Schizosaccharomyces pombe: one gene and its partner. The protein of the gene in region 1 binds, or shares a complex with, the protein of each later gene. Each region holds a gene or a part of one and is shown on either strand. Other genes may lie near its edges. A codon is read from its position in the direction of its gene.

What was found.
Region 2: the proteins of sup35 (region 1) and erf1 are in contact, whole or in part, in a crystal structure (PDB 3E20), measured with the Schizosaccharomyces pombe proteins. Residues at the interface, in NP_588225.1 of Schizosaccharomyces pombe: Ser571 (codon at 1,266), Ile572 (codon at 1,263), Leu573 (codon at 1,260), Thr574 (codon at 1,257), Thr575 (codon at 1,254), Gly576 (codon at 1,251), Tyr577 (codon at 1,248), Ser578 (codon at 1,245), Met611 (codon at 1,146), Phe612 (codon at 1,143), Asp647 (codon at 1,038); in NP_594680.1 of Schizosaccharomyces pombe: Gln285 (codon at 1,768), Phe288 (codon at 1,759), Ile291 (codon at 1,750), Ser292 (codon at 1,747), Tyr298 (codon at 1,729), Phe300 (codon at 1,723), Gln396 (codon at 1,435), Met399 (codon at 1,426), Gln400 (codon at 1,423), Lys403 (codon at 1,414), Gly404 (codon at 1,411), Phe405 (codon at 1,408).

The regions. Positions count from the first base shown.
Region 1 is NC_003421.2:1,533,423-1,538,511, reverse strand, and holds sup35 (eRF3-like class 2 translation release factor sup35), read right to left. Parts: upstream 3,114-5,089; 5' UTR 3,060-3,113; coding exon 2,930-3,059; exon of another isoform or gene 2,896-2,929; intron 2,847-2,895; coding exon 988-2,846; 3' UTR 501-987; downstream 1-500. Other genes in the region: SNARE-binding protein Sec1, read right to left, coding at 199-239, 278-305; SPOM_SPCC584.03C (GTPase regulator), read left to right, coding at 3,835-5,089. UniProt on the Schizosaccharomyces pombe protein: GTPase component of the eRF1-eRF3-GTP ternary complex, a ternary complex that mediates translation termination in response to the termination codons.
Region 2 is NC_003424.3:4,689,778-4,694,546, reverse strand, and holds erf1 (cytoplasmic translation release factor class I eRF1), read right to left. Parts: upstream 2,768-4,769; 5' UTR 2,621-2,767; coding exon 1,319-2,620; 3' UTR 809-1,318; downstream 1-808. Other genes in the region: multifunctional aromatic polypeptide Aro1, read right to left, coding at 1-776; GDP-mannose transporter Vrg4, read right to left, coding at 3,340-4,377. UniProt on the Schizosaccharomyces pombe protein: Component of the eRF1-eRF3-GTP ternary complex, a ternary complex that mediates translation termination in response to the termination codons. The eRF1-eRF3-GTP complex binds to a stop codon in the ribosomal A-site.

The DNA of each region.
Region 1 (5,089 bases):
CAAACCAAAAGCCAAAGATGTGAAACTGAACGGCTCCAAATTAGAAATAGGCCAATTTTGATAGTTTAAAAAAAATATGTCGGAGGAAATAATATGCTGCATATTCACAAATTCAATTCCATTTAAACAATATCCAAATCAAAATTCCCAGTAAACATTTCAGTGCACGTTATAAGTTTCACGGGTTCCATCTCTTACCTTCGTAGCACATTCTACTGAATTAATTTTGCTAAGAAACACTTATTTGTTAGTAATACACCAGCACAAATAACCATACATTCTTTTTGGAGCTCCAGCAGTGTCATCTCAAAACGTCAATGTCCCGTATTCCTAAACGGAATAGCAAAAACTATACCTTTCAACACTTCAATGCTTACTCTTAAAACCAAGCAACGTCAAAAGAGTACGTGAAATTCGGATACGGTACAGAAATGCTGGTGGAATGTAAACGGTAGAATGATCGGATTACTGTAAATATGATCCACCTCGGTATTTATTCGGTAAGATTTGGTGTAGTAGCACAATAAATTTCAGTATATCTAGTGATTTAAATAAACTATTATTTTACAATATTATGAAGATTTCAAGTGTAGTTTTAATCATTAATATGGATTGTAAAAAAACAACAACTTATTATCACATTTCACCCTTCCATAGCTGCAAAGTGCAACTGCTTATTTACTATTTGCTGACCTACTCCTCGCATTGAATTCTGTACGAAAAAAGTAAATAATTTCAAAGTGAATAGGGTGTAAAGGAGTGAATGTCCATTATTCTTCATATATACAACCCATCGCATTGAAATTAGGCATAGTAATACGCGTATATAACGATTAGATATACATCTTCTACCATACCGCTAGTCCACCAACTAAAAAATAAGCAAATCCCATTTTGTCCTAGTTGGATTATATACAGTAGAACCATAAAGTGTCATACATTTGCATAGAAACAAATCCCGAGCACGAGAAAATTGCCGAAATTACCCTAATCCAAAATTTTTACGACTTTGCCAACTGCAACCGTAGTACCCTGATCACGCAAAGTGAAACGGCCCATATACTGATAGTCCTCAAACCTTTCCATACAAACCGGAGTTTGTGTTTCCAACTCTGCAATAATTTTCATACCCTTGGTAGCAAACATGGGGGGTTTCTTGCTTTTGCGGTTTGTTTTGTCAAGTTTATGGAGCAACTTGGCAAATGAAACTTCCTCGACAGCGGTATGAATGTGCATTACACAAGAATAACCAGTTGTCAAAATTGAAGGCAACTCAAGGATCGCAATTTGTGCAATGAAACGAGTAGTAGCATGAACTGGGTTTTTAGTGGATGTTAAAACATAACCAGTTTGGACATCCGAATCGTCACCACGGACACGGAGACGAACTTGGTCACCGCAAATAGAAGAAGAGATTTCTTCATCAGCTTCATCATATATGGCTGTAACTTCAAGGGTTTGATTAATTGGCATAACCAATACGTTTGAATTTTTCTTAATCGAACCAGCCTCAATCTTTCCTTCTAAGATGGTACCCAAATCTTTATACTTGGAGGCAATAGGCATGATGAATGGAGCATTCACTTTGCGTTCCAAATGAGTCATAGAATCCAAGTATTCTAGCAAAGATGGACCTTGATACCACGGGCAAACCGAACTGTCAACACGATCCTTAACGTTTTGACCAGTGTAAGCAGAAACGGGCATATATTTAACATCAGTCTTTGAGTTGTATCCAGCGACACGACGCAAAAACATGCTGAGCTTATCGACACATTCCTTATAACGCTCCTCCGACCACTGAACGCTAGGTTCGTCCATTTTATTAATAACGACAACTAGATGATTGATGCCTTGTGTACGAGCCAATACGGCATGTTCACGAGTTTGACCACCGCGCTCAAAACCAGCTTCAAACTCACCACGACGCGCTGAAATGACTAAAACACCAATATCAGCTTGAGAAGCACCATTAATCATGTTTGTAACGTAACCTTTATGACCCGGAGCATCCAACAAGCTAAAGCGACGGTGTTCGGTTTCAAAGTAAGCACGACCAACTTCAACGGTTTTACCTTTTTCACGTTCTTCAGAAGTGCTGTCCAAAGCCCAAGAAAGATACCAACTTTCTTTACCAGCTTCTTTAGCTTCTCTCTCTATTTTCTCCATAGTACGCTTGTCAACCATACCAGTCAAGAAAAGAATATTACCACCCAGGGTAGACTTTCCTGCATCAACATGACCTATAAAAACAATATTGACATGTTCCTTTCCATACATATCCTTCAAAAGCTCTTGATCAACCTCATTTTGTAAATCGGTGGCATCCTCAGTGACAGTGGCGGGTTCAGCTGCCTCAGCAGCTTTCTTAAGAGCCGCTGCTGGAGCAGAGGGTGTTTTTGCTAGTTCAGCATCAGCAGATTTTGTAGGAGTTTCCTGGGGAGGAGGAGCAGCGGTCTCCTTCTTTGTTGACTCAGAGGTAACCTTGGGTGCAGGGGTCTCTGTTTTGCTTTGTGCAGCAGGTGCTGCTGGTTTGGTAGTTGTAGGAGCTTTTGTTCCACCAAGGCTGATGCTAATGGGCTTTGTAGACTTAGGAGCAGAGGTGTTTCCACCCAGGGACAAAACCTTTCCTTTGGGAATTGCTGGTTTAGGAGGCACAAAACTCTTCTTTTTAGAAAAATCAGGGACACGGCTTTTATCTTCATCAACAGTGTTTCCTGTTGGCTTTTGGTAGTATTGCTGATAACTCTTCGTAGGATGTGGCGAGTTGCTGTTTTGTCCTTGGCCTGTATATTGGGCATAAGGATAACCACCAGCAATATTGTTCACAGGTACAAATCCGGGGCCTAGCAAGAAGTTAATAATTTTTTTACTTAAAACAAGCAATCATCTCAAGACATATGGATGGTGTTCTAATTAAAAAACGTACGTTGGAAAGAAGGAATGAAGGGAGCAGCTTTAGGCGTAAACGTAGGTGCCTTTGCAGACATCGACAGTTTAGAAGTCTGCTTGGCGAGTTGCTCATCCTGTTCACCGTTATTTGGCTGATTACTAGCCATTTTTTGCCTTTATTAAAATATGTGGTAAAGGGACGGTGATGTTGAAGAGAATTTACACCACAGTATACACTGTGTATTCTTTTATAATATAATATTACGAGTACTTACGATGATATTATTAGCATCCTTTATATAAGCTTGTGCTATAGTAATTCAGTTAAGTTCATAAAATATTATATTTGAGTTTAATTTTACATTTGGTTGTAAAATCGGAAGCAACTGAATTGTAAATTGGTCATTTTCTCGCTTTTTTCTTCAGTAATACGCTATTATTGTCTTAAACAGGTAAAATATATTGACTTGCCTTGGGAGATAAAAAACAGAAACTTCGGTGGGCTTAATACCAAACACAACATTTATTAGCTATTGGGTTGAACAATTAATCAAAAGTTTTTAAATCTATTGGTTAATTAGTCTCCATTGTCACCAATAATCACTGCAAGGATTTTGTCATGGAAGAAACGATGAATCAGCGTTACAGCTTCAAAATATATACCAAGCAAGTTCCAAAAGATTCAATATGTAAATCCATTATATAATTATTCACTTTAGGATTTCCTTATACAAAATTCTATAGGCGTGTTTGGATATTAAACTTCTATCCTCCACATATCACTATGACTTAGCGCAAGTTCTATTTGGTTCTCAATTTACTACGCTTCTTTTTATTTCGTTATTAATTTGTTGTTAAAAGGAATAAATACAATTTGAATGACCATTATTTATTTGTTTAGCCTTGTTTTCTCTTGTGTTTTTTAAAGCCGCCTTTTTAGAAATGGATGAATTACTTAATGTAGCTTCTCATGCTGCGACATTTGCTACGAACTTCGCGTTGAAACATAGTATATCATTTGCAGGAAAATTAGCTGTTCAGCAAGTTAGCAGCTATATTAAACGTGCCTCTGCAGATGATCAAAGTGAATTGGAGTCTGTGAAAACTCAACTGCTTGAAATGATTCGAGTTGTGACGCCTGCTATCGAACTAATTGAAATAATGTCAGTCGGTGAAAATGAAAATTTTAAGAGTACTAAGCAATTAGTGGATTCTTTGCACGCTGACATCGAACAATTCACCAAGCATGTTTTAAGCGCCGCTCATTCGGAATTTCCGCCTTCCTCAGAAAAAGAAACTTTGCAGAAGAACGTTGATACGTCTATTCTTCGTGAAATGAAAACTTTACTTCTCAAAATTAATGATGCAGTTCCTCTCTTAAATCTGTCCATCACTACTTCTGGTGCTTCTATTTCATCTTCTCTTCCAAAATCTACTTCATTTTCCCAACTTCTACGAGCTAATTCATACATATATAGGGCGAATGTTGCATTTACTGGAAATGAACCTTTACAAGTTGGCCCCACATTTTTCCTGCGAACTTATAAAATTATAGATAACCACGCCAAGTCTGGTTATATAAGCAATGATTTAGTCATGTGGAAAGAAGAGATGCCTGTTTGTATCGCCAAAATGTTTCGCATGCCTCCTCAACGGTTGAAGTCCAAGGATACGGTTCTAGCCTATGCTTTATCTTTAAAACAATCTTTTGATGATGATCGTTACCATGATGAAGATGAGACTCCTGTCACCAAAACCATTTCACTAAATGATGTGCGCACGCTTTTTTTTAGTTTGTCCGGTAAACTTCTTCGGTTAGATGATGTACAAACTCCCGTATTATTACTCAAGTATGCAGATGATGAAACAGAGTATTCTTCAAATACAGCACCTTCGAACTGGATAGCTTTAGAAGCACTTCCTTTGGTATCAATACCTAATGAATCATTAGACGAATCTGATGAACTTGCAGAATCTCTTAGTGATTCTGAAGCTGCTAGGCTACAGCTTTTAGGCATCAAAAAACAAGAATCCGTTGCAAAGAAAAAGTCTTCCTTTCCATCGACTATAAAAGATCAACCTAATTTAACTTTACTGGAGTATTTGATTAGATTATGCGCGCTCGAAAGTACTACCCAAGAATCAGTTTTACAATTACCTGACGAACAAATTGCATTGTATCTTAAAGATTATCAAG
Region 2 (4,769 bases), on another chromosome or scaffold:
TGTTCGTCAAGCGTAACTACTTCACACTTAGTACGAATTGAGGAAAGAATAATTTTTTGCAAAAGCGGTTTGATACTATCAAACTTGTATTCTCCTGGAACGGAAGGTTTGTTCAAGGCATCCAATAAAACAGCGGAATTGTTTTCAAGTAATTGAAAATCATTTTCGTTCCACATAGCAGCTGTTTTTATAATTTCGGACAAGCCATTTATGACTTGCCGGGGAGGTAAGGTATGTAAAAAGACCATATCAACATACACTCTAAGAGGTTGCCAAAAAGCACCAACAAGGTTTTTTCCCAAGGGAGTGTCAATACCTGTCTTCCCTCCAATAGAAGAATCAACCATAGCAAGCAAGGTGGTAGGCATCTGAATAAAACGAATGCCACGCATGAATGAAGCAGCTACATATCCCACTAAATCACCAATAACTCCACCTCCCATAGCAATAAGGATGGTATCTCGTGTACAGGATTGTGTGAGCAACCAATCTTCAATTTCCGCTTTCATAGCTCGGCATTTTGAAGATTCTCCAGGAGGAATCACATAAGTAAGCAACCTTGCTTCAGCCTTGGCATCTTTAATAGACTTATTAAAAGTACTTTCAATCTTTTCCAGGTAAAGAGGTGCAATATTTGAATCTGTAATTACGACGTATGTCGAAGACTTGAAGTTTTCCAGAATTTCAGTGCATATATATTGATGTATACCAAATCCAACTCTCACAGTATCCTTTCCGAGTATAGGAACTGTAATTATATTAGATTCGTTTGACATCTTGCAGAAGATTATAGTATTGCAAGATATATGCTACTTGCTAAGGACAAGCTTCTATTTGTAGATTGCGACAAGATACGACCGTAAATCTCGTTAATGCTAAAATTCATGAGAGCTCAAATCACAAACTAAATCAATCCTAAATACTTATTTAATTGCTAAACTTGCAATTTTAGAAATATTTAAACTTAAAATCGTAAGAGATGCAATATACTTACTGTTCGAGAAATCAGTATGATGCTCGGCATTTTAATTAATATTTTCCCAAATTTGCGGACAGCAGTGAAGGCAGCTAAAGAAAAATATTAGCCTACCGCTAATTTATTTGAAAAAAACAAAAAGAATAATAGTACGACACAACTTATGAAGGAGAAGAAGCGAGTGAATTTACATAGTCTAAGAAAAATAAGTCGATAAGATTTATAATGGCAAACCTCAAATATCACTAAGCAACCAACAAAAGATAGTAACTCAAAAAGATTAAATGACAATCGGTAAATACAAATCACGCTTAGTTTATTATATTACTTTTAAGGGGAAAATTAGTCGGAGTCGGAATAAAATTCATCAGATTCAGGATCAAGCATGGAGAGATCAAGCTGGTAACGCATAACAGCACCAATACCACCAAAACCTTTGACAAATTGCATACCTTCCTGAGATCGGTCAGAAACAAACTCTAAGTTAGCACCGTAATCCTTGTAATGTTCAGCAAGCCATTCAGAGAGTAGCATAGAGCTTACTAACTCCATTTCAGCACCTGTATCCTTATCTAGCAAGAACGAATTGGTAGAATCCTTTTCCTCTTGCTCCTTAGTCATATATGTAATAACAGGATTACCTTCTGAGTTCTTAAACTCATAACGGATCATATCAAGGTCTGCAAAACACAGAAGTGTTTCTACGGCACCTTCCTGAAGTGCATTCATAGTATCAACGACACCAAAACAGTATTTACCCGAATCTAAGCTAATTTCGTCGAAAAAGCGTTGTATCAATTTTTTCTCTTGGACATATTTCACATTTGACAAAGTATCAGCAGCCAATTCTATAGCCTGGTTAAAACCAGCGTCGCCACCGTACGAGACGTCTACAGTCTTGATAATACGAGATTGAAGACGTTGGTCAAACAAGTCACTTTGACCGAGTTCCGTTTTAAAATCAGCAGAACCAGCAAGAACAATACCCGCAACATTAGGTTTATCATCAGTAATAAAATGCTGCACAGCACCTTCAGCAACCTTTCGAACATAGTTGTGACGTTTTTCATCACGTAAACGGGCAAAACGAAGAGCAGATTGACCACCACGTCCATGTTTTTTAGGTAAATCGACAGTGAATCGTTGTAAAACCTCACGAGCACTACCAGAAACAACACCATATAAAGTTTGATGACCGTCCATAACAATAAATCCGAAGCGTTGATCACTTTCAAGCAATTCTGCTAAAGCTTCAGTATGAAATTTATTATCACAAAGATATTGCGAAGTATTAATTGGTTTGAAGGGTTCGAAATCAATGTTGAGCTTGCGTGTCTTATTGCCCTCCATTATAACTTCACCGCAGTAAATGACCAATCCATTATCAGGGACTTTATTGTACAATTTCAAACGCTCACGAGTTGAAGTAATTGCAGATAGAACTGATAAACGATTCACACGAGATTTAATGTTAGAGGCAGTGCCATACTCTTCGGCAAGCATATTGCTGTATCTGGATATTTGTTCGCCAGGTGGGATAATTAACGTAATCATTGAGGTGCCGTTTCCATGACAGTTAATCAATTGTTTTACCAAACGGCGAATTTTCCAAATTTCGATAGCTTTCTCAGCAGTCTCACTCATTTTGTAAAATTTGTTTTAAAGTTTTTTATACCCAAGGTTCTTGTACACACTATGAAAAATCCGAAAACCGAAATCCTATTTTTTTATAACTTGAACAGACAGTTCAAGCAACGAATTACCTCTTGTACTTCGTTTTTGGTAGTTGGTAGGTTTTTGCCTACTGAAAGGTGACGGCCTATGAAAACTTTTAGCACGATACATTTCGTTAACTTAGCTATCGTATTTGTATTTATTACAGTATTTCAATAATATACAAAAAAACAAATAATTTTTTGGAGGTAAAATATTAGTAAAATTGAATCACTAAACAATTCGACTCCAAGCGGCTGACAAACATTCAACCAATAGTTTAGAAGCTCAGTAAAAGGAAACGAAGACATAAGAACATTAGACGTCCTTTTTCCATCGGAGAGCATTTTAAAGAAAGAAATGATATTTAGAAAAAAAAAGCAAATGATTTAGGAAATGAAATAATAGAGGTCTAAAAATTGTAATTGAATGTCAGTGTTTTATCTGTCAAAATATTTCAAACCTAATAGTCACGTTGTAATAAACGACACGATCTCGTAATCAGGTTTTTATCGAACACGAGTAAAAGCGGTATATTTTGAGTAACGGTAATAAAAACTTTTTAAGTAAAAAGAAACAAAGTCTATTCTCTTATGCAGGCTTGAAAAAATTTTGCAAATTAAACATAAATAATAACCAACACAAAGGGTTTAAGACTTTGACAGACTATCGCGCATGCTTTGAGAACTAGCACTAACGGGATTATGAGTCATAGGGAGGATGGTAGCAGGATCTTTCTGACGTTGCTGTTGAGATTTAGCAACGGCATAAACAACACCAGAAATAAAGCCCAACAAAATAGCGGTAACAGATCCAAAAGTGATGGGTGCATCAAAAAACACTAAACCGGCAATAGCCAAGGGAAGTTTGTTAAGAGCACCAACCATACTATAAGTTGTCGAAGAAGTTACGCGTACACACCAGGCAGAGGTGTAAGAAATTCCTACTGAAGAAACACCACTAATAGCCATAGCCATTAGAACACCAAATTTGGCATCAGGAGGGAAATTTTGAGCAATGTTTTCAGCACTCCAGTCCTCAGTAAAGAGCGTGCAGATAACCAAAACAGGGATACTGAGTAAGTTGTTATAAAACATGGTATCAAAGTCACGAAAGTTGGTAAGTTTGATACGCTTACGCATCGCGAGAACAAAAGCAGCATTTGTGAGACAGTTAAGCACCATCCATAAATAGCCAGAATTTAAGGTTTGGGAAGCAAATGAGGAAGACTGGATGTCTGCCCAAGCAGCGACAATAGAAGAAAGAACCATTAATCCAAAAGAAAAAAGAGTTAAAGCAGTAACATGCCCGCCAAACCAAAGGACCTCACCATAAGCAATGATAATAATAGTTAAATTCTTAAATATAGTGTACACTGGAACAGAAAGAAATTGCAAAGCCTTCGATGCAGTATAAATCATAGCTACCAATAAAAAGGAAATAGGAAACCAAAATTTGGCCTCACGAAAATCAAAATCCCTATAATTAATAACTTTCAAACGTTTTAGTATCCCAATGGCTGCTACACAAACAGTGGATTGTACAGTCAAAAGGAGAAAGTTCATATTGTAACCAGGACTCGAAAGAACATATTTATTGGTCAAAGTCATCAATATGGAAGCCATGCAATATGACACCACTGGAAGAATCGGTGATTTACTAATTCGGTTTAGCATATGATTATCCATTGTTGTTGGAATTTCGTGATGGCTCCGGTGAAGTTGTCTACATACCTACCCACCATGTTTGGAAGGAGCGCGTACGTAACAGGCCTTACCCTTCCTCAAAGACACAGTCCATTGGTAACAAGTTTTGGCATACAGATTGATTAACATCTCTGTTGATCAAACTTAAATAACTTGGTCTTCTCATATAAAATATAATTATTTAAATACTTTTTTGTTCATCTATAAAAGAGTATTTTCGCCTGCAAGCCACACTTAATGTTACACCAATTCATATGTTTTACAACAAAGTATGAGCATTTACTGTAAAAGCTGTGTTTGAATTGTTGTGAAATTCCTTAGTGTATGAAGATCGTTTTCCAGTCGAAGTCGATCATATATAAAGTCGCGATGCA